Linked DNA regions of Caenorhabditis elegans. The protein of the gene in region 1 binds, or shares a complex with, the protein of each later gene. Each region holds a gene or a part of one and is shown in the gene's direction. Other genes may lie near its edges. The genes, in order: dpy-28, smc-4, mix-1 and dpy-27.

Region 1 (4,593 bases):
TGGTCTGAACGAAGGCAATACGAAGAACCATTTGATCAAGTCAGTGAACGAACCATCTCGATTTGTTCGACAGGACACGGTGAATCACTTGTGAAAGCCGATTTCTGCAGGGGTATCGCCACGAGAGTGCTGTAAGTTTGGGAAATTATTGAAAATTTGGAGATTTTGCGCGCACTGGATCATTTTCCGTAGAAATAACTTAAAACTGAGCAGTTTTAGATGTAAATCAGCATGAAAATCCACAATTTTGATGATTTTTGAATCTTTTTTCGAACAATTAGCACAAAAATCTATAATTTTTGGAAATTCTGACCAGTTTTCTTTTTAAAAAAGTTGCTTAAAATTCGGGGATTTTGCGCGTTCAGGACCATTTTCTGTAGAAATTGCATAAATTGGGACGTTTTTAGCGATTACAATTTTACAAAGGCAATTTTCTCTCAAAATTAGCACAAAAATCCACAATTTCCTATCTATTTTCTGCAAAAAATAGCTCAAAATTCGAGATTTTCATATATTTGTGATCTGAAACAAACTGCAAATCCAAGTTTTTTACCGTTTTTCTTGAAAATGTAGCACAAAAATGTAATTTTTGACTGTTTCTAAACTTTTTTCTCTTAAAATCGGCAAACAATTGATAAATTAACAATTTTTAAATTATTTCCCTTACAAATAGCTTTAAAAATTGTAAAAAAAAGAAAATTTAATATTAAAAAAGATTTTACGACTAAAAAAAAAGAGATAAATCGCTGCGAGACCCTAGTTACCATAACAACAACGCATCAATTTTGTTTCTTTCAGAGACGACGAGGAGGGTATCATGTACAGTGAGATTATTCGAGAATTCATACACGAAAAAATGGAACAGTAAGTAGATTTATTATTCCATTCAGAGCAGCATATTTATATTTAAATAATTGAAAAATTGAACATCGAAAGTTCGAAAAAAATGAAATTTTTCATAAAATTTTGTATCTGTTGATGAAAAAACATAATAAAGCTTTATATATATATTTTTCGAAAAATCGAAAAATTGATTTTTTTTGCAGTGGATCCCGATACGGTGGCATCGCATTGATCGCCGACAAATTCAAAGATCGAATGTCGCTGGAATTTCTGATTTTCCATAATTGTCGATATCTTCCGGCTGCAGTTCGTTGTCGAGACAATCAGATTCGTGTTTTTGAATCACAATTCGATCCGGATCAATGTACTACTGATCCTAAATGTGTTATCGAGTCATTCATCATGTAATAATATGTATATGATATCAAGAATTCCGCGTTTAAAACTTAGAAAAATCTGGAAATTGTGTTTTTTTTTCGGAATTTTCCGGGGTTTGAATGCGGAAATATACAAAACAACTCCCCCACTCCATCCGATTTCTCTCTCAATCCTCCGCTGAAGAATATTTTATGATTTGAAATTAAAATGAAATGAAGAATTTTGTAAATATTTTAATTTTTAAACTTTTAATTGTTTTTTCTTTTATTGAATTTATTCTAGTGCTCACTTGCTCGCTTAGAAATATCACTGATTTGTTATTATTTTTTAAAAACTAATTTCCCCCTTCTACAGGCTTTTCCCCTAACAAATGCCGAGAAAACAACGCGTTGTCACTACACCGTCACCACCGACTTCAGATGAAGATGAGGATATGGATTTTGGCTCGACGAGCCAGCAACAGCAGCAGCAGCCGACACGGAATAATGATGGATTGAGGTTGAGAATTTCAGTTGGAAAATTATAGATTTTTCAGTTTTTTTTTTCGTGAGAAAAATCAGATTTCGTGCACAATTTTCACATAAAAAACTAAAAAAATCAGTTTAAAATTCGATAAAAAACTTAATTTTTTCCGATAATTTCAAAAAAAAAAATTTAATATCAAATTTCAAAAATTTCAATTAAACTCCAGATTTAGATATATTTTTCTCAATTTTTACTGAAATTTCTCTGCAAATTGCAATAATTTCGATGCTTTCTTCACTGAAAAACCCATAATTTTCATTTAATTTCATTTAAAACTAATATATAATTTTTTACAGAACCTTTTATGGAATTTTCTAGAAAAAAAAGTAAAATAAAGAATTTTTCCTGTGAAGTTTAATAAATATGCACCGTTTTCTAGAAAAAAAAGAAAAACCATGGATTTTTCCGTTTTTTTTTTTGAAATTCATTTCAAAAACCGAAAAATCAGTTTTTTTTCCATTTTTCCTCAATCAAAAATAATTTTTTTAAATTTCCACAGAAAATGCAGAAGTAAATCGGAATTTTTTAAAACAAAATATGAAAAAAAAATCACAAATTTCTTCAAATTTCTCCTGAAAAACCGAGAAAAAGGCTGTTTTTTTCCTGTCAAAAACTCTAAATTTTCAAATTTTTTTTTTCAGTGGCTTCAAAAGTATCACGGAAATCATCGCCGAAGCTGACAATAATATTCCATCCGAACAAATCGATAAGGATATCGACAGTTTCTCTTCATATTCGGATATTTCTGATTGGAGAGGAATTCCAAAGTTCTTTCCATCGTTGAGCTCACTTTCACGGCGAGCTTCTACTTATGAGAATTGGGAAAATCGATTCAAAGTCGTCGATTATCTCGTTTCTTGTGCGTTTTTTGGTGGAATTTTGGAAGTATAAAATATTGCTCTAAAACCCGATTTTGAAGAGAATTTTTTTTAATTTAAAAAACCACGAAAAAGTTCAAATTTGCTATATTTTAAGAGGAAAAAAGTGCCCAAAACTCATTGATAATTTCCTGAAAAAGCAGAAAAATCGACAGTTTTCTCAATTTTTCTCAGACCAAAAAATTGAAAAATTTTGATTAGAAAAAAAAGATTTTTCGGTTTTTTTTTGTTGGAAAAAATAAAAAATTTCAAAAAAAAAGTAAAATGTTTAAAAATTTCGAAAAAAAATTGAAAATTGAAAAACCTAGAAATTTGTACATGCATATTTAGTTGAAAAATACCTCAATTTTTAAAAAGCTTCTAGAAATTTTTTTAAAAAGTAAATTTCCTCCTGTTTTTCCTCCGATTTTCGAAAAATTCAAAAATTTTCGCTGAAAAATTGTTTTTTTTCGGAGAAAATCTTTGAAAAACTTTGATTTTTCATAGAAAACATTACTTTTATTGTTTTAGACAATTTTCTCAATTTTTCGACAGAAGAATTGAAAATTTTTGTTTCAAAAAACTATTTTTCGGTTTTTTTTGTTGGAAAAAATAATAAAAAAATCAGAAAATTCTCAAAAAATATAGGACCTTTAAAAGCGGCAATTGTCTAAAAATTTCAAAGATAAACAGTTGAAAACTGCCGGATTTGCCTGATTTTTTCCGGTCATTTTCAACTTTCAGACAATTTTTTTCGCTGTTTTTAGTTGTTCAAAGTCGAATTAAAAAAAAATAATAATTATTTTCAAATGCAGATAATATATTTTCCACTTCAAAACCCCGCAAAATTTTGCAGGTTCCGGAGCTCTAAAAGACTCTGTAAGCGACTACGTGGCCGATTATTTCGAAAAAAATGAATCTGGAGAAGATCATAGTGTCGATGTGGAATTGGTGCATGCAGTCAGTATGTTTGTAATTCTTACTCAACGATTGACTGTTCAACTTCAATTATACGTATCAAAATCGATAGCATCAGCCAATCAACAGGCGAAACGTGGTACTGGAAGAGGTGGTCGTCAAGTTGATTTAGATGATGATATTGTCAAGTGGAAGGATATTCAGAGACATCGGGTAATTATAGTTTTCCAGGAAAAATAAATTGTAAATTTATAGATTTTTTAGAAGAAAAAACATTAAAAAAAAACGCAAAAATTCATGTGTCTTCGAGAAATTTTAGGTTTTTCAGAGATAATAGAAAATCCAAAATCGAAAAAAAAAGTTTGTAAAATAAATAAAAAAATCAATTTTCTTCTTAAAAAAAAAAGAAAACTCAGATTTTTTTAACTCCCAAATTTTCGATTTTCCGATTTCATTTTGAAAAAAATCGAAAAAAAAAACAACTACTGTAATCCTTAAAGGCTCACGTCCTTTTACTATAAAATCGGTCGTGCCAAGACCCGTTTAGTGAAAATTTCGCAAAATATCGCATCTGGGAAATATAAATATATAAAATTTCGTGTTTTCTGGTCAAAGCCCCCCGAAATCTGTATAGAAAAGAGCTCTTCCATCTAAAAAATTGAGTTTTTGAAATTATTATTTAGTTTCTAGAAAAAAGCTCCAAACTCTGAATATTTCTATATTTAATGCCATAAATATTTAAAAAAAAATTTCATATAGTTTTTTCTGCTGAAAGGATTTTTTTTTGGATTTTAATATCAATATAATATAATCAGATTTGTTAATCCATTTTAAAAATATTATTTGCAAAATTTTCAAAATTCAGATGATCAACTGCCTGCTGGAATTACTTGAACTTCGTGTCGACACCGTTGCCGGAACCAAGAAAAAGGCGATTCAATACGTTTTTGCGCCGGATGTCATGGAAAAGGACTTTTTGCTTCGCTTCCTTGACACAGTTGTCCAATTGCTTGAAGATCCCGAGAATATGGCTCGTTCCAGTCAACAATGGATTTCTCATTATTTCAGAATT
Region 2 (7,827 bases), 6.2 Mb from region 1:
GAAGCAAGACGACTCGCTGAAATTTGGTGGGCAAAAAATTTGAGATTTTTTCCGCAAACCATGTACGTGCTGCAGAAACTTGATCAGAAAAATCCAGATGGGTTTAATTACACTGATTTTGAGGAAGAGGTTCAGGTAATAATTTAATCTTATTGTTAAACAAGGGAGAAATTTAGTACGTTTAGAAAGTGATCCCAAGGTCCTGGATACAGAACCATCATTCATTTACACTCTTGTCGCTGTTGAATGAAGAGAGCCTTTACGTGAAGTTCAACTTGATAATGCCCTCGGATTCTGAGAATATGAACAGAGTAAGCTATTATATTTTGATTGGTCAAGAAAGTAAATCAATATTTTTAAGGTGAAGGTCAACCAAGTAATTAAATTTCTCGGTTTCCATGAAATTGGAGACTGTGAGTTTTCTATGATCTATCAATATGTTAGTTCAAAGTCCGCTTCAGAATCTACATACAGCATCCACAAAGTGAGAGTTTTTTTAGTGGATTTCTTTTCAACTTCGAATTTTCAGTTCATGTGTGAAGACTTTCCGGGATGGGAGACACAATACAATAACGAAAAGAAAAGCATGGATAGGATCTTTGAGATAATTATTCAGGAGCAAAAAGTAAGAATGATTGAACATATATGAGAAAACATTTCAATGTTTTTCAGTTATTTTGGACGGAATATGATTATCATACATACAAACGCCATGCATACAAGATTGCTGTCCCGATGGTCTTCTCGCTTAACATTGTAGACAAAGCTGTTGGAGTTCGAAGTGATGCTCGCTAGCTAGTTAATGATAGCCCTGTCTTTCCCGTTCAACTCGATCTCTTTGAAAAAAATTCATTAAATCACATCAGAATCGCTCGAAAAAAAAATTTGAAGCTTTCAAGACAATCCCCAAAAAAGCATGCTCAAATCGTTATTTTGGAATCTTCAAATTTTCGGAGCATTTTTTCTTATTACGATGTTTTTTTCCTTAGCCAAATCTGTTTGTATGTATTTATCAGTTCCCGTTGATTTAATGTTTAGTTGGTAGAAATAAATATGAATAAAGTTTTAAGTTTCAATGTTTCGCAGTTGAAGAATTCGTAGAATCCACAATCCATCCTCCAAAATCGGGAGTTATTTTGTCAATGGCCAGTGTGAAGAAGCACGGAGTTTCAGCCGGATGAAGAGATCGAACACGCTGAAATTGAATGAAAATCTTAGTGATCCGAAATAAAAACATACAGCTGATAGCTCTTCGACTTTGCTTTCTACAGTTTTCAAGATCACGACATGCTCTTGATCTTCTTCAATTTTTCCTTGCCATTTGTATCTGAATATCTGGATTCTCGCACAGATTTAAAAAAGATAAAATACTTACACAGATGTGACTTCCGGAATAACATTGGCGCAAGCGGCTAATGCTTCAGTGACAGTTGTTCTGAAATGAAATTATGTTTTGGTAGACAGAAAACAAAAAAATACCTTGCCACAGTCATTGCAACTTCCTTACTCGGAGCTGTCACATACGCGACAACCATTTTTACAGCGGGTGTTGTCATTTTTATTTGAAAACTTATTTTATGTTGAAGCAATTCAGAAATGTTTAATTAATTACCGTACTTCATTCTAGCTCTCGTCGTATAATTAAATGTATGGGTCGCACTTGCGCGTCACGGTGTTTGCACACACTTGTATGCGCGCCAAAATTTTGTTCGAATTTCACCGCCAATAATTGTTTAGCCGCTGCTGTCCCACTTTTTGTTTTTGTTGGGAAATGTCTTTTTCATATTAAGCACTCAAATCCTAAAAATCAACGTATTTTAGGGTTGATGCCTCCGAAGACTTCGGCGGCGCCGCCACAATCAGACGAATCTGATTCTGATTTTGATGACGCTCCTGTTAAAAAGCCGCAGAAAAAGACAACGAAGCCTGTGAACCGACACAAGGAAGGATCAAAGGACCCGGAAGAAGAACTACAGGTATCCCTCTCAGAATATTTAAAAGCAGCAATAAAACTGAAATTTTTATTCAGAGAGCGGTAAATGAAAAATTTGATGGAAGCGACGGAGAGGACGACGACAGTGATCTTTTCTCATTGGTATGTTACTCTGTTTTTAATATTAAAGTCATTACATTTTACAGCAACTGCCATCGCGACCCGATTTCCTTACAAAACCGAATCGGGCGGATCGTTTGATGATTCGCAATGTTGAAGTGGACAATTTCAAGAGTTACTTCGGCAAGGCTTCCATTGGACCATTTCACAAAAGTTTCACATCAATTATCGGTCCAAATGGATCTGGAAAGTCTAATTTAATCGATTCGCTCTTATTCGTTTTCGGTTTCCGTGCTTCCAAAATTCGTTCTGCAAAAGTGTCAAATTTGATTCACAAAAGTGCTGGAAGAAATCCAGACAAATGCACAGTCACTATTCATTTTCAGCGGATCGTCGATATTGTAAGTGAATCAGAGAATCTAATAAAATATAAATTTGCTTTTTTTCAGCCTGGGCATTACGAAGTCGTCAAGGATTCTGAGTTCACAATCTCTAGAACTGCTTTTCAAAATAACTCAAGCTCATATGCTATCGATGGTCGACCGGCAACGAAGAATGAAGTTGAAGCACGCCTACGACGCGTTGACATTGATATTGAGCATAATCGTTTTCTAATTCTTCAGGTAAAAGTGACAATAAAACCGGTAATAAACATTTTTTTCAGGGAGAAGTCGAACAAATTGCAATGATGAAACCAGTGAAAACCACCAAAAGTGAAACTGGAATGGTTGAATATTTGGAGGATATTATCGGAACAAACCGACTCGAGCCCTTTGTTAAATTATTCCAGCGACGCGTCAATCGTCTTACTTGTGATCTTTCTCAACAAAGAATCGCTCGTGATCACGCCAGAAACAGCAAAGTAGCTATGGAGAATCCAGTTAGAGCTGCAATTGAGTTTCTGATGAAAGAAAACGAGGCTACAACGATTCATATGAAATTGGAGCAAAGAAGACGGTAGTTCTGAAATATTCCAGGTTAAAATAACATTTAACGTTTTAAGGCAACGATACCTAGATAAAATTGCTCCAAAACAAGCCGAACTTGACAAGATGAAAGAAGAAATGAAATCGATTGCTGAAACGCTGGATACCAACAAAAACGAATACAAACAATCTGAGGAAGCTCAGAAAGTTATGATTGAAGAGCGTTCGAAACTCGACAAAAACTTTGATAGTCTATCTAAGGAATTGAGCGACTTGGGCACTGAAGAGACTCGCAGGAAGGAGGCTTTGAAAAGGCATCAAGCTAATATTTCAAAGGCGGAAGCTGAGAAGGAAAAAGAGGTTAAAAAGCGATCAAATCTGGAAGCAGCACCCGAAAAGGCGGAGAGAAAAATCGCAAAATGTCAGGAAGAAGTGGAACAGTTGCTTGAAATAGAGAAAACAGCTAACGAGGAAGCCGACAAGAATCTTGATGAATTTGAAAAACGCTCTGAAGCGCCAAAAGAAGAACAAAAGAAGATTCAAGAGACTTGGGCGCAGAAGAGCAACGAATTTAACAAAGTTCGAGGTGAAGCAAGGATTGCACGGGAAGATTTCGAGGATTTAAAGAAGCTCGCGAATTCTGGAACGGATAAGCTTATCGAACTGAAGAAACGATTAGAATCTTCAGAAGAAAGTTATGCGAAAGAGAAGGATGAGTTAGATAAGCTGAAGCCGGAATTTGATTCTTGGAATGATAAGTTAAAACAACTGAGTACAGAATTGCCAACTCTTCGAAATACGGCAAGACAGAAGAATCAAGATGTAGGTTTTCAAAAAGCCTGATAAATTTAAATAAATCCTATTTTACAGTTGGCAAAAACGCGTGATCGTCTCGAAACTCTTCGCCAGCAAAACTCGTCTTGCTCAAGTTCGAATAAAGTTATTCAAGCCTTAATGAAGGAAAAAGAAGCTGGAAGAATTAAAAGTTTTCACGGTCGTCTTGGTGATCTCGGTGTCATTGATCCGAAATATGAGGGAGCGATTTGCACAAATTTCGGGGCCCGTCTCAACTATCTTATTGTAGGGAAAGAAGAAGATGCAAAAAATGTCATCAATTTTTTAGTTGCTGTAAGTTTTATAACCCTCATTTTCTAGGAATACATTGGTTTTCAGAATAAATTACCTCGACAAACTGTTCAGCCATTGGACAAAATTAAGTGTGATAAGAGAGATTTAGCTCCCAATCCGACGAACCCATTACCTGCTCCTCGTCTTATTGATCTGATTGATTGTGATCCTGTTCTTAAACCAGCATTCTATGATATGGTGCGTAGTGCAATTGTGGGCGATTCTACCCAGGAAGCTCAGCGAATGCATAGAATGCCCGCTTGTCGTGGTGTTACCGTGTGCACACTAGAAGGTTCTATGATTCACCCATCTGGATCATTCACAGGAGGTGGAAAAACAGTGAAAGGTCTCATTCTCACGGATAAAAATAAGATGGCTAAACAAGTGACACCTGAAGATAAAGCCGCTGAACGAGATTTAGCTGAAAAACTTGGAAAATTGAGAGATGAAGCTGATGAACTTAAAGGACAAGAGCATGAAGTAAGATATTAAAGGATAAAAATATAAAATATAACAAACCGATTTTTAGATGGACGGACAGCTAATCGAAGCACGTCGCAAAGTCGCTGAAATGAGTAATCGTTTGTCTATTGTGACTTCTTCAGTTCAATCTGCAGCTCCAGCAATTGAAACCCTCAAGAAAACGATCGCAAATCAAGAAAAAGAAGCAGCGAAAGTTAAGGTGGATGCGAAGACATTAGAAGATAAACAGAAGATTGTTGAGGAGCTCGAAAAAAGTAATTTTCCGTCATATCATCATGATTTGGGTAATATATTTCATTTCAGAACGAGATGAGTTGGGCGAAGAAGCTGCGAAAGTAAAAGCTCGTCAAGCTGAAATTCAGAGTAAGCTTGACGGAATCTTCAAGGAACTTGTACAATGTCATCGAGACGAAGCCAAAGAGTCTCTTCAGAAACGTCAAAAACTTGAGAAGGATATCGCCAAAGAAACTGCAAATATTTCCAATTCGGGCAGAAACATTGCAAAGTGCGATGAGAACATTTCCAGACACGATAAAGACATTGAGAAGATGAAGAAAAAGTGCGAAGAATTGATGGAGAAAGCAATCGATGATGAGGAAGTGAAATCGAAGAAAGAAACGGTTGAGCGCTTTGAAAAGCAAATCAAGAAGTTACAGACAAAAGGAGAGGAAATGACGAAGAAACAATCGGAATTGTCAGCTGCAGAGACGAAATTGGAGGGAGAATTGAAAAAGTGCAGTGAGGGAATAAAGGAGTTGAAGGAAAGTATGTTGGCAGATCGATTAAAGGTTGAGGATATTGAAAAGAAGGTTTGTTATTAATAAAAATCTATTAAATTAAATGTTCTTTTTTTACAGCTCGCTGCTTTGAAAGTTAATCGAATCCCACGATTCCAATTTCTCATCGAATCAAGTCGGCCAGAAGATCTCGAAATGCAAATCGATGATAAAATGCCGGTGGTTGATGAAAATCAGAGTCCAGAAGAAGTTGAACGACAAAAGAAGCATATGGCCTGCGTGATGAGTGACGCCGCGTACGCTCTCGAGTTCGAAATGCGACAGAAAGTGTTGGAAAACACTGAATCGTATGAGAATGTCGACGGAGAGGACCGGGTACCGGTCGAGCTTCTGTCCGACGAGAAAATCAACGAGATTTCGAGCCGAGACGCTGAAGAAATGCAAATGAAGCTGAAAGTGTGTGAACAACAAGTGGAAGCATTGAAAGCTAAAGTTGATATCTCATCGATTAAAGCTTATGTTGATAAGGTCAAGCAATACAATGAACAAGTGATCAAGTTGACAATAGCCACAGAAGTACATCGAAAACATAATCAAGAACTTCAACGAATCAAGCAGATGCGACTTGAAGAATTCCATGTAAGAAATCAGACGTTGATAGGTTTCTGATTAATTTTTAAAAAATATTTCAGTCTGCATTCGAATTCATTGGAAAACATTTGGTTGCCGTTTTCAAAATGCTAACTGACGGAGGAGATGCCAAATTGGAATACATTGATAAAGACGATCCATTCCGACAAGGAATCAGTTTTATGGTTCGCCCAGCGAAGAAAGCTTGGAAGCAAATTCAATTCCTTTCGGGTGGAGAGAAGACATTGTCCTCATTGGCTCTCATTTTTGCGCTCCACATGTTCAGGTACTAAATACTTTCTTTAATAATTATTATAATCCCTCGTTTAGACCTACTCCATTCTACGTTATGGACGAAATCGATGCTGCTCTCGACTATCGTAACGTTTCGATTATTGCCCAATACGTCCGACAAAAGACTGAAAACGCGCAGTTTATTATTATTTCTTTGAGAAATAATATGTTTGAACTCGCCAATCGTCTCGTTGGTATCTATAAAGTTGATGGGTGTACTCGTAATGTAGCCATTGATCCATTGAGAGTTTGTGAGATGGCGAAGCAAATTACGGACAGTTTGGGGCAGGCCACGTGTACTCTTCCTGATGAAGTAACTCAACGATTCAATGAGACAATGAGTCGGCAGAATAAGGAAATGATTGCACAAGAAAAACAATATCCGAACTTCCCATCATCAAATGAGATTTCAAAGGCCGAAAAGATTGTTAACGTTGAAGGACGTGTCAGGAAAGAATTGATTCAAACTACCCGAGATGTCACTTCAAGACCACAATCCAAAGCAACGACAAGTGGCGATGGAACTGAAAGACCGGCTAGTCGGTCAGCAAGTCGACCCGAATCTCGTATAAATCGTAAGACCAATGGCGTATTTATTATGAAAATGAAACAACTTATTTTTAGAAATGAAATATCCTGCTCCACGCCTTGTCGAAAGATCGTCGTCACAGAATGTTCGTAGCCCGAGAAAGGCACGAAACATAGAGGCCGATGAGGTTAGTTTCATTAAAAAATTTGAGACTCATTTTATTTCCCATTTTCAGACTACTCCACCTTCAAAGCGTTCAAATTCCGCAAGTACACCAAAACGATCTCCAATGAAACCGTTGACACCGTCGAGTAAAAAGAAGGAGAAGGCAATCGTTGATGACGATGATGATATGGAATAATTCATTCAAAAAAGTTCTATCCTCTTTTGTTTTGACGGGTATTAGTTCTCTGATCCCTCGACTCTTCCGTTTATTATTATTTTAAACTCGCGCAAATGATACTCATGTGCAATTCTTTAACCTCTCCCTGTTCAAGAAATCTCTCCCTTTTCCTTTTTATTTATTCTTATTCTCAATTATATTTAATTTGAGGGCCAAAGTTTGAGCCATTTTGCGTTGTATTTTTTTTTCGGCTCCAAACTGTAATTTAATGATATAATTGAGCTATGTGTCTTTTCGTTTGAAATAAGAACGTTTATCGGTGAAGCGTTGACTAGTATATCCCTCATGGTTAATCTGATTCAGATTTCCATTTTCACTATTTATTTTGTGGATTTTCACTGTAACTCGTGTTATGCATGTAATTTCAGATATGTCTACTTCTTCACATACCGTACTTCTGATTCAAACATCACCACGTCTTGATTCACGGACTTGGGGAGATTATGAGAGTGTAACTGACGCTCTTGATGGTAACCATTCCGTGAGAATTATTATGTTTAATGGAATTTTTCAGCTCTTTGCAAGATGTTTGAAGATTTCCTTTCCAAGAAATCAGCTGCTCCAGTCACATACGACGTGTCGCAAGTCTACGAGTTTCTCGATAAGCTCTCCGATGTTTCTATGATGATCTTCAATCGCGTATG
Region 3 (4,967 bases), on another chromosome or scaffold:
GTAATTGTTTTGTGCCCTCTTAAGTTTTACCTTTTTTGTAGATTTTTTATGTATCTAAAAAGAATTATGTGTATTTGATTGAACATGTGCAAAAACAAAATTAAATGATTAATTTACAACAATAGAATTTTAGCAACATATAAATAAATGAATCCATAAATTTCGAGTAAAAATGAAGAATATCAACTGCTTTGCTCATCAAGAACTATAATCTTCTCACGAGTACATGAATCACAAGCTGGTAGCCGAATAACAATGTACGATGGCTCCTTCTGGTAGACCTTCTTATCACAAATCGGGCAACAAAAGTTCGGAGTATGTACTAGATGTGGTCCGTCGACGACAGGAGCCAACTGATACGACTTTTTCAGAACTGGAGGGCACAGATCATCGTTGGCTGATCGCTTTTGAGCAGCATTTCGAACTGAAGCCATATCCGTCCTCCGGAGCAAGACGGGCGGAGCAACTTGTTGATACTCGTGATCACTTCGGTCTCGCTGGGGTACGAGCATCTGGTCGATGGTGGCGTACGCGAATTCTCCATTCATTAATTGGATCTGAAATTTCAAAGCTTTAAAAAATATACTTTATAGAAGTTTTATGAGCATTTTTCTTCGTTTTTTCTAGAAAAGCTCTGTTTTGATCCAAAAGTTGAAAATAATTACATTTTATCGGATCAAAACAGAGCTTATCTTGCCTAATTAAACAGAAAAAGTAAAGAGTTTCTCACCTTGTACTCCGAATCGCCTCGAACATATTTGACAACCGCATCTTGAAGACGACCATCAGCTGTCCGAATTTGAACGGTTTCTCCAATTATTGGGCTTCTTGTAGATTCTAAAATAATTTGGATAATTAAAATTAGTTCAAATAAGCTTCTGAAACTCACTTCCAGCTTCCAACTGTTCATGATGATGATGGTGATAACTTGTTGATGGAGCCTGATCGTTGTATGCAGAATCTTGAGCTTTTTCTTTTCTAAAAATAATAAAAATATAGTTAAAATTCTACGTGTTGACCTACATGGGCGGTAGAGCAAGTTGCACAAGTTGATGGACATTTTCAGTGCTTAAATTGTTTAAATCAATGTTCAAATTGGCGATTTCGGAGGGGGAAACATAGAATTGCTTCTGTTTTGATGTAATATTGACTCCACCATCATTTGTCAGAATAATATGCATTGCATTATCGATTATCTGACCATTCCCATCATATTCTTCCTCCGGCCCATTTCCATCACCTTCAAATTGATTTTCAATCATTTCGTGATGAACCATGTGATGATGTGAACCATCTTCTATGACAACTTCTTCATTGTGCTCTTGCTCGTTTTGTTTCGCCTGTCGTTGTTGACTAATCGCCACCACAATGTTCAGCTGCTCTTCGGTGAGATGATTAAGCTCAAAGCCTGCTTCTACATCGAAACCCGCTTCGTACATGTCTTCCTGCGTGATTTGAACCATATTCTGAAATATAAATATTCTTTCAATTCATCGAAAAGCTTGAAATACCATAAACTGTTGATCACCATCCTCCACAATCATATCTCCTTGTTCAAGATCTTCCGGCTGCTGCTGCTGCTGCTCAACAATTTCTTCTTCATGCTTAGCACTTTCAACTCGAAGTGGGGCCTGATCCTCGTGGAAAATATGATCTTCATCGGCAGGATATACACCTTCTGGGGAGGATCTGGAAATTCCATTTATTAATTTGAAAGAAAATGTGATTTTTATTCTTACCCAGGAATTTCTTCTTCACGGCCTGTTGTTGGGCTAGCAGGATTTTCTTTTTCGGAATCCATATCTGCAACGATTTTCGTTGTTTAATAAAAATTAAAAAATAAAAATTAATAAATGACTCTAAATTATAGCGAAGGAGAAAAAACAAAGGAGAAAAAAATTACAAAAATCACAAGGCAACTTTTGCGCGTCAAATCTCATACATTCCAGTCCGCAAACACTCTCACGCCACTCTGCACACTTCTCAAAAGACGCGCCAAAAAACATTCAAAGCTCATTCGGCTTTCGAAATAAACATTTTCTCAAACTCGTTATCGACTTATAACTTATTTTTGTTCAAAATCAATTCGACAGGGTGCGCTCATAATGCACATTAAATCCATCCATCTGGATGGCTTTAAATCGTACCAAAAGCACACCGATATTCTCGATTTTTCGCCGACTTTCAACGCAATCACCGGTGAGTATAGTTTTGTGCTGAAAACTAATAGTTTGAAAAACTTTAATTTCAGCATAAAATATAGTATAATAATTGTTTTATTTCAGGATACAATGGTAGTGGAAAATCCAATATTCTCGATTCGATCTGCTTCATTATGGGAATCAATAAGCTCGATAATATCAGAGCAAGTATGTGGCTCTTTCTCATCACAAAATTATTTTGTTGTCATAGTGATACTTACGCGCTTTCGGACTGAAAAAGCACAAGATCAGAGTAGCATAATATTTCTAGCAAAGATTTTTTAAATTGAAATTTAGAAAAAAAAATTAAGTCAAATATCATTCCAGAATCAATGCACGAGCTGATTTCCCATGGTGGAACAAAAGCGATCGTCCAAGTTCGCTTCGACAACACTGATAAAAGATGCTCCCCGTTCGGAATGGAACATCTCGACGAGATCGTCGTTCAGAGAATCATCACAGCTCAAGCAACTGGAAAAGGATGTGCAACGAGTTACACACTGAATGGGCATGCGGCCACAAATGGAAAAATGCAAGATTTCTTCCGTGGCGTCGGTTTGAACGTGAATAATCCACATTTTCTCATCATGCAAGGTCGTATTACTACGGTGCTAAACATGAAGCCGGAGGAAATCCTCGGAATGGTTGAGGAAGCAGCTGGAACAAAGATGTATGATCAGAAGAAGAAAGACGCGGAGAAAACAATGTTTTTAAAAGATGCAAAACTCAAAGAAGTTGATAGAATCTTCCAATCAAGTATTGATCCGAGAATGGTAAAGTTCCGTGAAGACAGAAAGAATATGGTGGAAGTGACTCGTCTCAAGAAACTCAAAGAGAACTTTTCCCGAAAATACGAGGCGTTTCAATACTTTCAAACATGTGAAGCGGTGAAAAAAAGTGCAAAAGAGATTGAAGATGCCAAAAAGGGAATTGAAGATCTCGGTGAAAAGTTTAATCAGCTTGATCTTGACTTGAAGAATAAGGAAGATGAGAAGAAAAAGATGGAAGAATCTCGAGATGATCAACATGAAGAGGCTGCACTTTCAGCGGCTCATCTTTCGAAACAATCTATAATGCTTCAGAAGGAGACTGTCAAAAATCAATTGGTTGAAACAATCAATAAACTCAAAAAGGAAGGTGAACAAATCAACAAAAGCTTGTCAAAAGATCGTGAAGTTCTCGACGCAAAACGAAAAGAACACGAAGATTCAAAGGCGGCTAACTCGAAAGATATTCAAAGTCAATCTGATGATGAAGCTGTAAGTTCGAGAAATTATTCTAAAAATAAAGTTAAAAAAAAACAATTTCAGCTCGTCACAAAATACCGTAATGACCTCGAATCCCTAACGAGAGGAACAATTGCTAATGACAAAGGAGAACATGTGTCGATTGAGAGTGAAATACAGTCTTGCAAGTCGACTGCGTCTCAAATGTCATCTGGGATTACTGCTGCGAAGAAACGGTAACTTTCCTGAGAATTGGAACAAAAAATCTAATTTTGTTTATGTCGATAAGAATAATGACAAAAATTTTGAGATATTTTAAGAAAAATCGAAAAACAAAAAGTTTCGTTTTTTCGCTTTTTGAAAACGTCAATGATAGTTTTTTTGCGGATACTTTCAATGAAATTATTCTGTCGTTTTCTCTTCAGTTTTCTGTTTAAAAAATTTTAAACCAGTTTTATACTATTTTTACATTGAAAACTGGTTTTAAACAATTTTTAAACAGAAAAATTAACATAAAACGATAAAAAATTGACTACAAACGATGTAATTTCATTGAAAAATTGCAAAAATTGAAAGAAAACACAACATCGAAAAAATAATGCATTAATTTGGAAATTCAGTAAATTTAATGGGACAAAAGAAGAAATGTACTTTTTTAAATAGGAATATCATTGAAAAATTGGCAATTTATTTCAGCGGTGAACGTCTACACAACCAAATTAAACATTTGGAAGGCGAAAAAGCTACTCTCTCAGCCAGAAGTAAATCTGACATTGGAAGTGCCGATAATTATCAAAAAGAGGTATCAGATATTTCAATTTTTTTTTCTCCGAAAACTTAAAAATATTCAGGTCGATGAGATCAATAAGCAACTTCAATTATTGGGTTTCAATATAGATGCTGATACGGAGAAACGAGAACACGCTGCAAAATTGCATGAGAGCATCACTAAGCTCAAGGATATGGATACGAGACTTCTGAATTCATACAAGTAAGGTTTTGTGTGAAAATTCATTTTAAAAGAGTTATACCGTTTCAAAATTTAAAAAAAAAAACCTATTTTCATAATAAAACCCGAATTTTGTCAATTTTTCAGTATCGCAGCGAGCGGAACTTGGTTTTTATTCAATTATCGCCTTTTTATTGCATATTTAAATATGAAAAAAAAAAAACATATATTTTTGTAGTATATTATGCGTTTTTTTTTCGTGAATTCAGGTGCATTTTCTGCACATTTTTGGTGAAATCGACCGAAAAGCCATCAACATTAACGAAAAAACGTGCAATAAAGAGTGATAATTTACTACGAACCAAGTTCCGGCCGTTATGACACTGAAAAGTTGGTAAAATTCGAGATATTAGCTTTAAAAAATAGTTTTCTTTCGGAATTTTGAGAAAACTTTTTTTAATTTTAAAACAGTTGTTTTTCAAAAATTAATGCTTTTTTTCAGCTAAAATTTCAAATTTCGCGAATTTTTTTTCGAGAGTTTCGGCATAATCAACTGAAAAAGCACCAAAATTTAGGAAAATTGCGTGATAA
Region 4 (7,855 bases), 6.9 Mb from region 1:
AAATATCCGGAAAATCGGAAAACCGCCATTTTGTCGGAATTGAAAATTTCGTTTTACATCCAAATCCGTTTTACATCAAATTATACCCCTGTTTCTTCTTCTACAGTTCCCCTCCATTTTTTCGATTGCAGACTTTCTAGAAGTTTACATGGTTTGTGACTCTGTAATATGCTCATCTGAACCGTATGTTGGCAGATGTTCTTGCTCACAAGACCATCCGTTGTTTGATCTCTCATTTCCCACCATTAGAAGACCCGTTGTTGGCTGCAACATCAAAAACGAAATCCTCAATTACACGCAACTAACTGCTCAAATTATAAGCTTATCTATCATCTCAACAGAGGAGATCAGCTCATATTCTTCTCTCACACACCTCTTCTACCCATCACAAGATGGAGTCGTGCCAGCCCGTACCAGTGTGCTTGTTACCTAGGCGACCTGAGAAGTACAAAATAATCATCCGTCTCTTGTTTCTCACACCTTGTTAAAACTAGTCAGTTTTATACTTTTGTCTTCTGACTTCAATTCTCTTCTATTCTCTTCTTCATTAAGGATGCCCGGATCAACTGGTGCAATGGATTTGACGGAGCAAGACACGGGTAATCGCAGACAGTAATGCCTATCAGGACTTTAACTACTTGTTCTATTATAGACGAAGTTCAATAGAGATCGTACAGACACATAAATTGACAAAATTTTTGGCTCATTTCCTTCATGCTTCCATCTGGATTCACATACATATCTAATATAAAATTTCAAGTTTCACTCATCGTGTTAAACTACTTCTTATCAATAAAATCTAGTGATTTTTTTTCAATATTATACATATAAAAACCTCTCGGTTTTTTGGGGACCTCTTCAGCTGAAAACTCGTATACTTTTCCCAAAGCGTGATCGTTGATCGACTATCTGTAGCATATCGATTTGTACATCTAGTAATGGGAAACGTTTGCCAAATTTTCAAATAATTAGAATCTTTATCTCTCCAGCTCCTTAGTCTGGTACACCCAACCTTCTTCGCAACAATATTCCGCTCATCACCCACCCACCCATTGCTATGGATTCTCTCCGTCTCTTATTCCACTATTCTTTCTCTCACCCGAATCGTCTTGACCGCAGTCGGAGTCTGTCATTTCTCTCAGTCTCCACGTTCTCCATGCTCTTTTCCACTTTCACCTTCGTTCTCTTTCGTCGTCTGCCTCTAACCCCACACTCGGTCAGCAGTAGTAACAGCTCGCACACACAGACACAGACATACGCTTGCGCGCGCGCAATGAAATGGGTGTGTGCTCGTGTGTGACCGTTTCTTAACTTTTTTTTTGAATTTGACAAATAAATTAATTAGCGCAGCTTTCATAATCTTAAATCTTAAAAAAATTAACAAACTTATATATAGTTTCCAATGTTATCTGTGCCCTGATTTTCCTAAAGTCCGGAAAAAAAATTCGTTTGAATTATCGATTTGAATTTTTCCCCAACATTAAAAATTTAGTTTTCAATATTTGAGGTGAAATCATACTGATAACTATATAATATACTATAACATTAATAAATTTCTAGATGACTTTTTTCAATGTTATCAATTTGTAAACTGTGTGATTCAATTTTAAATATGAAATATATATTTCAAAATTTTTTGATTAGGTAATGTTGGCAATTGGCATTCAAAGAAATTTTGTCAGTTGATAATTACCAAAAAAATTTGATTGGAAGGGGTCGAAAGTTTGCCAGTTGTCAAAACATTTCCAAAGCTTTGCCTTTTTGGCAAAATTATGCACCTCTTACTCTCCCTCTCCCTTTTAATATTTATCAAAATTAATTCCTTTTTTCAGGTATGCAGCCGTTTAAAAGACGGGCGCTAACCTCGGACGATGATAGACCATATGCTGACACCGACTCGATGCCTGAAGTCGATCTCGACGTGGATCGCCGACGACAGTACATGGAACAGCTCAACATATTCGATGATGTTAGTTCAGGCGCGTATATGTTGGAACTTGAAGCGGCTGAAAACGGTGTGAAATATGATGAAAAAGAGGATCTTTTGAATGTTCAAATTCCCCCAAAATATGAAGATCAGATCTCGGATCCGGATGGAAATCGAATGATAATTCTGAATATCTACGTTGAGAACTTTAAAAGTTATGCTGGAAAACATATTCTCGGACCGTTTCACAAGAACTTGACAATGATCCTGGGACCAAATGGAAGTGGAAAGTCAAACGTTATTGATGCATTGCTATTCGTGTTTGGATTTAAAGTGAGTTTTTTAAATTGAAATTTTTATTCCACAATATACATTGTTTCAGGCTGGAAAAATTCGTACCAAGAAGCTATCAGCATTGATCAATTCAGGAGGGAACTACGAATCATGTTCAGTAACAATTATGTTCCAGATGGTGAAGGATATGGTAAGTAGGTTATTAAAGCGGGCCTGAGATCCACACGATTGAAAACAAACTAATAACTATCAATATCAAAATTAATTTTCAGCCTGTCGAAAATTACGATAAATATGAAGTGTTAACAGATAATTGCGTCTGCATCACCCGCACAATAAATCGTGAAAACAATTCAAAATATCGTATTGATGACAAAGATGCATCGCAAAAAGACGTCCAGGAGCTTCTCCTACGTGCTGGAATTGATATGACCCATAATCGATTCCTGATTCTGCAAGGAGAAGTTGAAGCGATTGCACTAATGAAGCCAACATCCAAAAATCCGAATGAAGAAGGAATGCTTGAATATATTGAGGATATTGTTGGAACCAATCGTTTTGTCGCACCAATTTCCAAACTAATGCATCGGGTTTCTCTATTGGAGCACAAAAGTTCACAATATGGAGCCTCGTAAGTTCATTTTAATATTATTAAATACCACAAATTTTGGCACGGATGTACCACATAAAAATATAAAGCATGGAAATTCAAATTGAACTAGGAAAAAACAAAAAAACTTTGCGGTTTCAACTTGAAATATATTAATTTTCTGAAACTTAAAAAAATTTCAAATTAAAATTCTTTCCATTTCCAGTGTTCGCCGCCACGAGGGACACCTAAAAGTCTTTGAAAAGGCAATGGTTATCGGGATGGCCTACCTGAATACCTTCAATAATCTCAACTACCTTCGTGGAATCCGTGTCAAGCACAATTTGTGCCGTTATGCTGAAACAATGAGGGACGCCAAAATGAGTCTTGTCACTCGAACAGGAGAACTCGAAGAGAACAAGGATATCATGCTTGAGGCAAAGGATGAAGTTCGGAAGAAGGAGACTCACGAGAGAAGCCTTAATAGTATTGTCACTGAGCTGGAGAATAAAAGAATCGATTGGCAATCGAAGAAGAATGACTGGCATGCACGTGATGCTAAGAGAAAGCAGGGGCTCAAGTCGTGTACTCAGGACCTTGGGAAGCTCATGAAGGAGCGGGATGAAGCTCGTCGGGAGAAGTTTGAAATTGAGACGGCTCCAGAGAATGCGAGAATCTCTAAGCAAAACATGCAACTCGAATGGGATCAGCTCAAGGAGCAGGAGAATGTGTGTCAGCGGACAGCTACAGAGAATCTCATCAAGTATGATCAGAAGTCTAGTGCCGACAGAGCGAAGCATGATGATCTGGAGAAAAAACTCTCAGATGAGCTTCTGCAATCGATGCGAGCAAAAGCAGAATTGGACGTTTCTGAATCAGAACTTAAGGATATGACGATAATGATGGAGCAGGGACAGAAGAGAGTTGATGAGCTTAAAGGGACATTGCAAACAATGATGGCTGAGAACATTAGAGATAATACGTAAGTTTTATTTTATTTTATTTTATTTTAACCAGCTTTTAAAAATTCCCCATATCCTTCCAGTGAGCTAAACGCCGTCACAACTGAGCTGCAAGATAGAAAGCTGAAGTTTGACAAAGCTGTCGAGAAGCTTCCGCATTTGAAGTCTACCGAACAACTTTTGAGAAGCAAGAAGTATGAGCTGGATCAAGAAGTGATTGAAGCATCGAACACCCAGGAAGTTACGTACCGTCATCAGGCAACCGCAAAGCTTCATGAACTGAAAGAGGCTGGATTATTTCCGGGCTTCAAAGGTCGCTTGGTAAGTTATTCGATTGGGAGTGAGTACCTGCTTTGAAATTTGATTAGCTGTGAGCATCCTGGGGTAATCTGATGTTCCATGTAAGTATGATTTTTCTGGGAGAAATACATTTTAAATAGGATCTTTCAAATTCAGAAGCCACACGTTTAGTCTGATTTCGAATTGATTTTTTTTCGAGGACCAATTTAAAATTAATTGTCTTACAGGGAGATTTGGCAAGTATCCCAATCAAGTTCGACACCGCAATTTCAACAGTGTTCTTTGCACAATTGGATTACCACGTTGTGCAAACTAGCGATGAATGTAGAATCGGAATTGGCTTCTGCCACGAGTACAAACTTCCTCGTACGACGTTTGTCTTCTTGGATCACTTGAAAGATACTGATACTAGCGGAATGGATTCTACAATGAAATTGTTGGTAGTTGCCTTTAGTTGCCAAATCTAATTAATTCTTATTTTCAGCCCAGCCGAACGACTTTTCGATAAGATTCACTGTGTAAACCCTGAGATTCGCCGCGAATTCTATTTCTTGATCCATGACATTCTGGTTGTTGACAGTCTTGAAGAAGCAACTCGAATTGATAAGAAGTATCCTGGAAGGCATCGTTATTGCACACTGAATGGCTCAATTTTGAACCGAAGTGGAGCATTGACTGGTGGTGGAAAACCGACGACTGGTCGTATTCGAAATGATAATAATCCAAACATGAGTGGAGTCAAAAAAGTTGATTTGAGCAAGCTAAGAGCCGCACAGGAGAAGCACAATCACGCACTGGAAGCTCATTTGAAGTTGCAGTTAAAGCAAGAAGAGATCCGAGCCGACAATGGTCCGATTATCAAACAGCTCGAGATTCGTAAGCGTGAATTGATTATGTCCACCAAGGAGCAGAAAACACGGATTGCCGAGTTAAAGGTGATTTATTTTTGCGTCTCTTACTGAAACACAGAAATTTTCGCTGTTCCGATTTTCTTGAAAATGGATATATCGAAAAAAAAACTAGATTTTATTCAAAATTTCCATTCTAATTTTTTAATTATTTCCAGAGCTCAATCGCAGCACATGAGCGCCGTATGGTTAACTATAGAGAAGTGACCGTTGAGGATTTGGACGAGAAGAGAGCTCAAATTGCAGATCTGAAACGTCAAGTGGAGGAGAGCCAAAAGTCTTCAGCAAAAATCAAGCAGCAAATTGAGCAATACAAACGGAAAATGGACCGAATGTTTATGGAGTTGGTCCAAAAAAATAAGGACTCAATTGAGCAGGCGAAGGATCGAATGGGACAGCTGGAGCAGGACATTGCACGACAAACTGCAATTATTGAGAACAATCCATCACATTTGGAGCAGGCCGAGAAGAAGCTTAGTGAGCTGGAGCATATGTGTCTGGAGAAACGTAGCGAGGCAGATGCATTGGCTCAATTGGAAGTTGGAGAGGATGTAAAGGGAATTGATATTATCAATGCGCAATTGCAAACTTCAACGGTATGTTTAATTTCTATAGGACTAGGATTCTGGTTAGGCTTATGTTTAGGCTTCGACTTCAGTTCAAGCTTAGGTCCAGGCTTAGGTTCTGGCTTGAGCTCCAACTTAGGCTTTTTTTAGGCTTAGGCTTTAGCTTGGTGTTTCCAACCTTGCTCCCTTAGTTCTAGTAAACATTTTCGATTTTTTTTCAAAATTTTAAACCACTATTCAAACAATTTTTGCGCTTTTTTAAGCAGTCTCCTTATGAAGTTCGCCATTTTCGAGCTATTCAGAATTTACCAATTCAAGCTTTACTATTTTCTAATTTTTAATCTTCCAGGCCAGCATTGATGCACAAAGAGCCAGGTACACTGAAGCGGTTGCGGCACGCCGAGAAGCAGATGCAGCCTATCAAACCACAGTTGACAACTACAACATGGTCAAACAGACTTATGATGAACTGATGAGAATCATTGATGACTTGGAAAACAAGACAATGGCGGATAATGCAGAACTTGATATTATTGAATCTGCATGGATGCAACCGGAAAAGCTCTATCCACCTGGCAAATTTGTCAGATATAATGATCCAGATATTGCGGCCAAAATGACTGATGGGTACGTTTCAGAAGCTTTGGGAGATTTTCCATGTGCAAATTCAAATTTATAATCACTGAGTTTTTAGGCACGTTGTACTCCCATATGAATGCATCAGTATGATCGAACCTCACCGTGAAGCTTACGAAGAGCACGAAGCGAGAATGCTTGAGGACGATGTTTTCGAGGACACTGCTAACAAGATTTGCAAGCTGGAAAAAGATGTTGACAAGTTCCGGCGGGAATTTGATAATAAAGGTGTTCGGGATTATGCGATGATTGTGTCGCTTCTCATGAACGAGGTGACGTCAGCGAAGAAGTTTAGCGATAAGCTGAAGGCTCATCGTGAGAAGCTCAACGAGTTGAGAATGGCGAGATTCAACGAGTTCAGCGAGGCGCTCGCATTCTTGGGTACTACTACCCAAATGCTTTACCAGGTGAGTAAGGGGTACTTGCCTGCTACCAGGCTGACAGGAAGCATTTTTTCTGTCAGACCCATTGCTTTAAATGAGATTAAAAGAAACAAGTTATTTGCTTACAGCTTATCACCAATGGCGGAGATGCTAGTTTGAAGTTTGTGGAAGAAGGAAAATCTACCGATCCCTTCGATGGTGGAATAAAGTTCAGTGTACGTCCCGCCAAGAAATCCTGGAAGCTCATCGAGAATCTATCTGGCGGAGAGAAGACTCTGGCCTCTTTATGCTTTGTCTTTGCAATGCACCACTACCGTCCAACACCCCTCTACGTGATGGATGAAATCGATGCGGCACTGGACTTGAACAATGTCAGCCTGATTGCAAACTATATCAAGCATTCCGAGCGAACACGGAACGCTCAATTTATCATAATTTCGCTTCGAAATCAAATGTTCGAGGTCGGAAATCGCTTGCTTGGTATCTATAAAATCGATGGAAAAACTTATAACATTATGGTGGATCCGATCGCGGTGGAGATCAAGAATCGTCCGATTTTGAAGATTTTCGAGGAGGAGATCAAACGGCGCGAGAAGCTACGACGTGCCGAGATTGAACCGGAAATTGATTTGAGTAATGGGCTCAGCAATGTCGTTATTGCACCAAAACGTAAGTAATAATTAGTGACATATCAACTGCACTTTAATTGTAAAATACCAAATCAAAGTAGCAACCAGTCCAACTTAAACCCATCTCAACAAATACCAATTTTCAGGTAAACAACGCCGGCTGGAAATGCTGAAACTCTCGGACTTTGGTCTCGATGATGACAGTGATCTTCCTGAATTTAATAGATTCCCACCCGCAACTCGTCGTGAATTAAGTGTTGAGGATTCAGATGAAGACGATGAGCCAGTAAGAAGACGTCCGCGTCGTCAAGTTGAAGAGGAAGATGAAGAGGATGAATTGATCGAAGAAGCAACTCCATCTCCACCACCAATTGTCGTTCAACGCCGTGTGCGAAGAAGCAGACATTAAATTGAAGTAATATATTTTAAACTAAATTTTGAAAAAAAAAAGAAAACTTTGTGAAAAATCCAAAAAATGAGACCAACTTTCTTTCAAGCTTGTATTTTTTAATATTCGTCTAGCTTAATTTTTCCTTGTGATTTTAATTATTTCCCTTTTTAATATATTTCCATTTTGTTGTATATTTTGTGAAACCCCTATATCTTTGCATCACGTACTGTCCAATCTATCTCATTTTCTTAATTCGCTGACAAGGTAAAT

The links.
Region 2: dpy-28 (region 1) and smc-4 share a complex: the UniProt entries of both Caenorhabditis elegans proteins name them as parts of the condensin I complex.
Region 3: dpy-28 (region 1) and mix-1 share a complex: the UniProt entries of both Caenorhabditis elegans proteins name them as parts of the condensin I complex.
Region 4: dpy-28 (region 1) and dpy-27 share a complex: the UniProt entries of both Caenorhabditis elegans proteins name them as parts of the dosage compensation complex.

What each region holds. Positions count from the first base shown.
Region 1 is NC_003281.10:10,761,556-10,766,148, forward strand, and holds the start of dpy-28 (Condensin complex subunit 1), read left to right. Parts: upstream 1-1,575; 5' UTR 1,576-1,591; coding exon 1,592-1,719; intron 1,720-2,387; coding exon 2,388-2,605; intron 2,606-3,459; coding exon 3,460-3,734; intron 3,735-4,386; coding exon 4,387-4,593. Other genes in the region: tasp-1 (TASPase homolog), read left to right, coding at 1-131, 799-864, 1,047-1,251. UniProt on the Caenorhabditis elegans protein: Required for both chromosome condensation and segregation during mitosis and meiosis and X-chromosome dosage compensation depending on its binding partners.
Region 2 is NC_003281.10:4,585,680-4,593,506, forward strand, and holds smc-4 (Structural maintenance of chromosomes protein 4), read left to right. Parts: upstream 1-1,821; 5' UTR 1,822-1,826; coding exon 1,827-1,976; intron 1,977-2,029; coding exon 2,030-2,095; intron 2,096-2,139; coding exon 2,140-2,454; intron 2,455-2,502; coding exon 2,503-2,676; intron 2,677-2,717; coding exon 2,718-3,010; intron 3,011-3,056; coding exon 3,057-3,801; intron 3,802-3,849; coding exon 3,850-4,107; intron 4,108-4,152; coding exon 4,153-4,587; intron 4,588-4,636; coding exon 4,637-4,844; intron 4,845-4,893; coding exon 4,894-5,399; intron 5,400-5,447; coding exon 5,448-5,966; intron 5,967-6,019; coding exon 6,020-6,243; intron 6,244-6,287; coding exon 6,288-6,826; intron 6,827-6,875; coding exon 6,876-6,967; intron 6,968-7,015; coding exon 7,016-7,141; 3' UTR 7,142-7,445; downstream 7,446-7,827. Other genes in the region: F35G12.5 (SPK domain-containing protein), read left to right, coding at 1-135, 186-311, 362-484, 530-625, 673-795; F35G12.7 (Divalent-cation tolerance protein CutA), read right to left, coding at 1,073-1,195, 1,240-1,327, 1,376-1,435, 1,480-1,556; erh-2 (Enhancer of rudimentary homolog 2), read left to right, coding at 7,554-7,653, 7,698-7,822. UniProt on the Caenorhabditis elegans protein: Central component of the condensin I complex, a complex required for conversion of interphase chromatin into mitotic-like condense chromosomes. The condensin I complex introduces positive supercoils into relaxed DNA in the presence of type I topoisomerases.
Region 3 is NC_003280.10:10,822,279-10,827,245, forward strand, and holds the start of mix-1 (Mitotic chromosome and X-chromosome-associated protein mix-1), read left to right. Parts: upstream 1-1,967; 5' UTR 1,968-2,105; coding exon 2,106-2,199; intron 2,200-2,285; coding exon 2,286-2,369; intron 2,370-2,528; coding exon 2,529-3,460; intron 3,461-3,511; coding exon 3,512-3,663; intron 3,664-4,123; coding exon 4,124-4,229; intron 4,230-4,278; coding exon 4,279-4,418; intron 4,419-4,967. Other genes in the region: ech-4 (Delta(3),Delta(2)-enoyl-CoA isomerase), read left to right, coding at 1-4; R06F6.12 (uncharacterized protein), read right to left, coding at 183-557, 731-837, 890-978, 1,024-1,466, 1,512-1,689, 1,740-1,801. UniProt on the Caenorhabditis elegans protein: Essential protein required for both chromosome condensation and segregation and X-chromosome dosage compensation depending on its binding partners.
Region 4 is NC_003281.10:3,813,657-3,821,511, reverse strand, and holds the start of dpy-27 (Chromosome condensation protein dpy-27), read left to right. Parts: upstream 1-1,832; 5' UTR 1,833-1,834; coding exon 1,835-2,260; intron 2,261-2,309; coding exon 2,310-2,411; intron 2,412-2,493; coding exon 2,494-2,852; intron 2,853-3,036; coding exon 3,037-3,792; intron 3,793-3,855; coding exon 3,856-4,093; intron 4,094-4,299; coding exon 4,300-4,508; intron 4,509-4,556; coding exon 4,557-5,007; intron 5,008-5,138; coding exon 5,139-5,576; intron 5,577-5,895; coding exon 5,896-6,173; intron 6,174-6,240; coding exon 6,241-6,589; intron 6,590-6,693; coding exon 6,694-7,234; intron 7,235-7,340; coding exon 7,341-7,603; 3' UTR 7,604-7,855. UniProt on the Caenorhabditis elegans protein: Central component of the condensin I-like dosage compensation complex that associates specifically with hermaphrodite X chromosomes to reduce their gene transcription throughout development.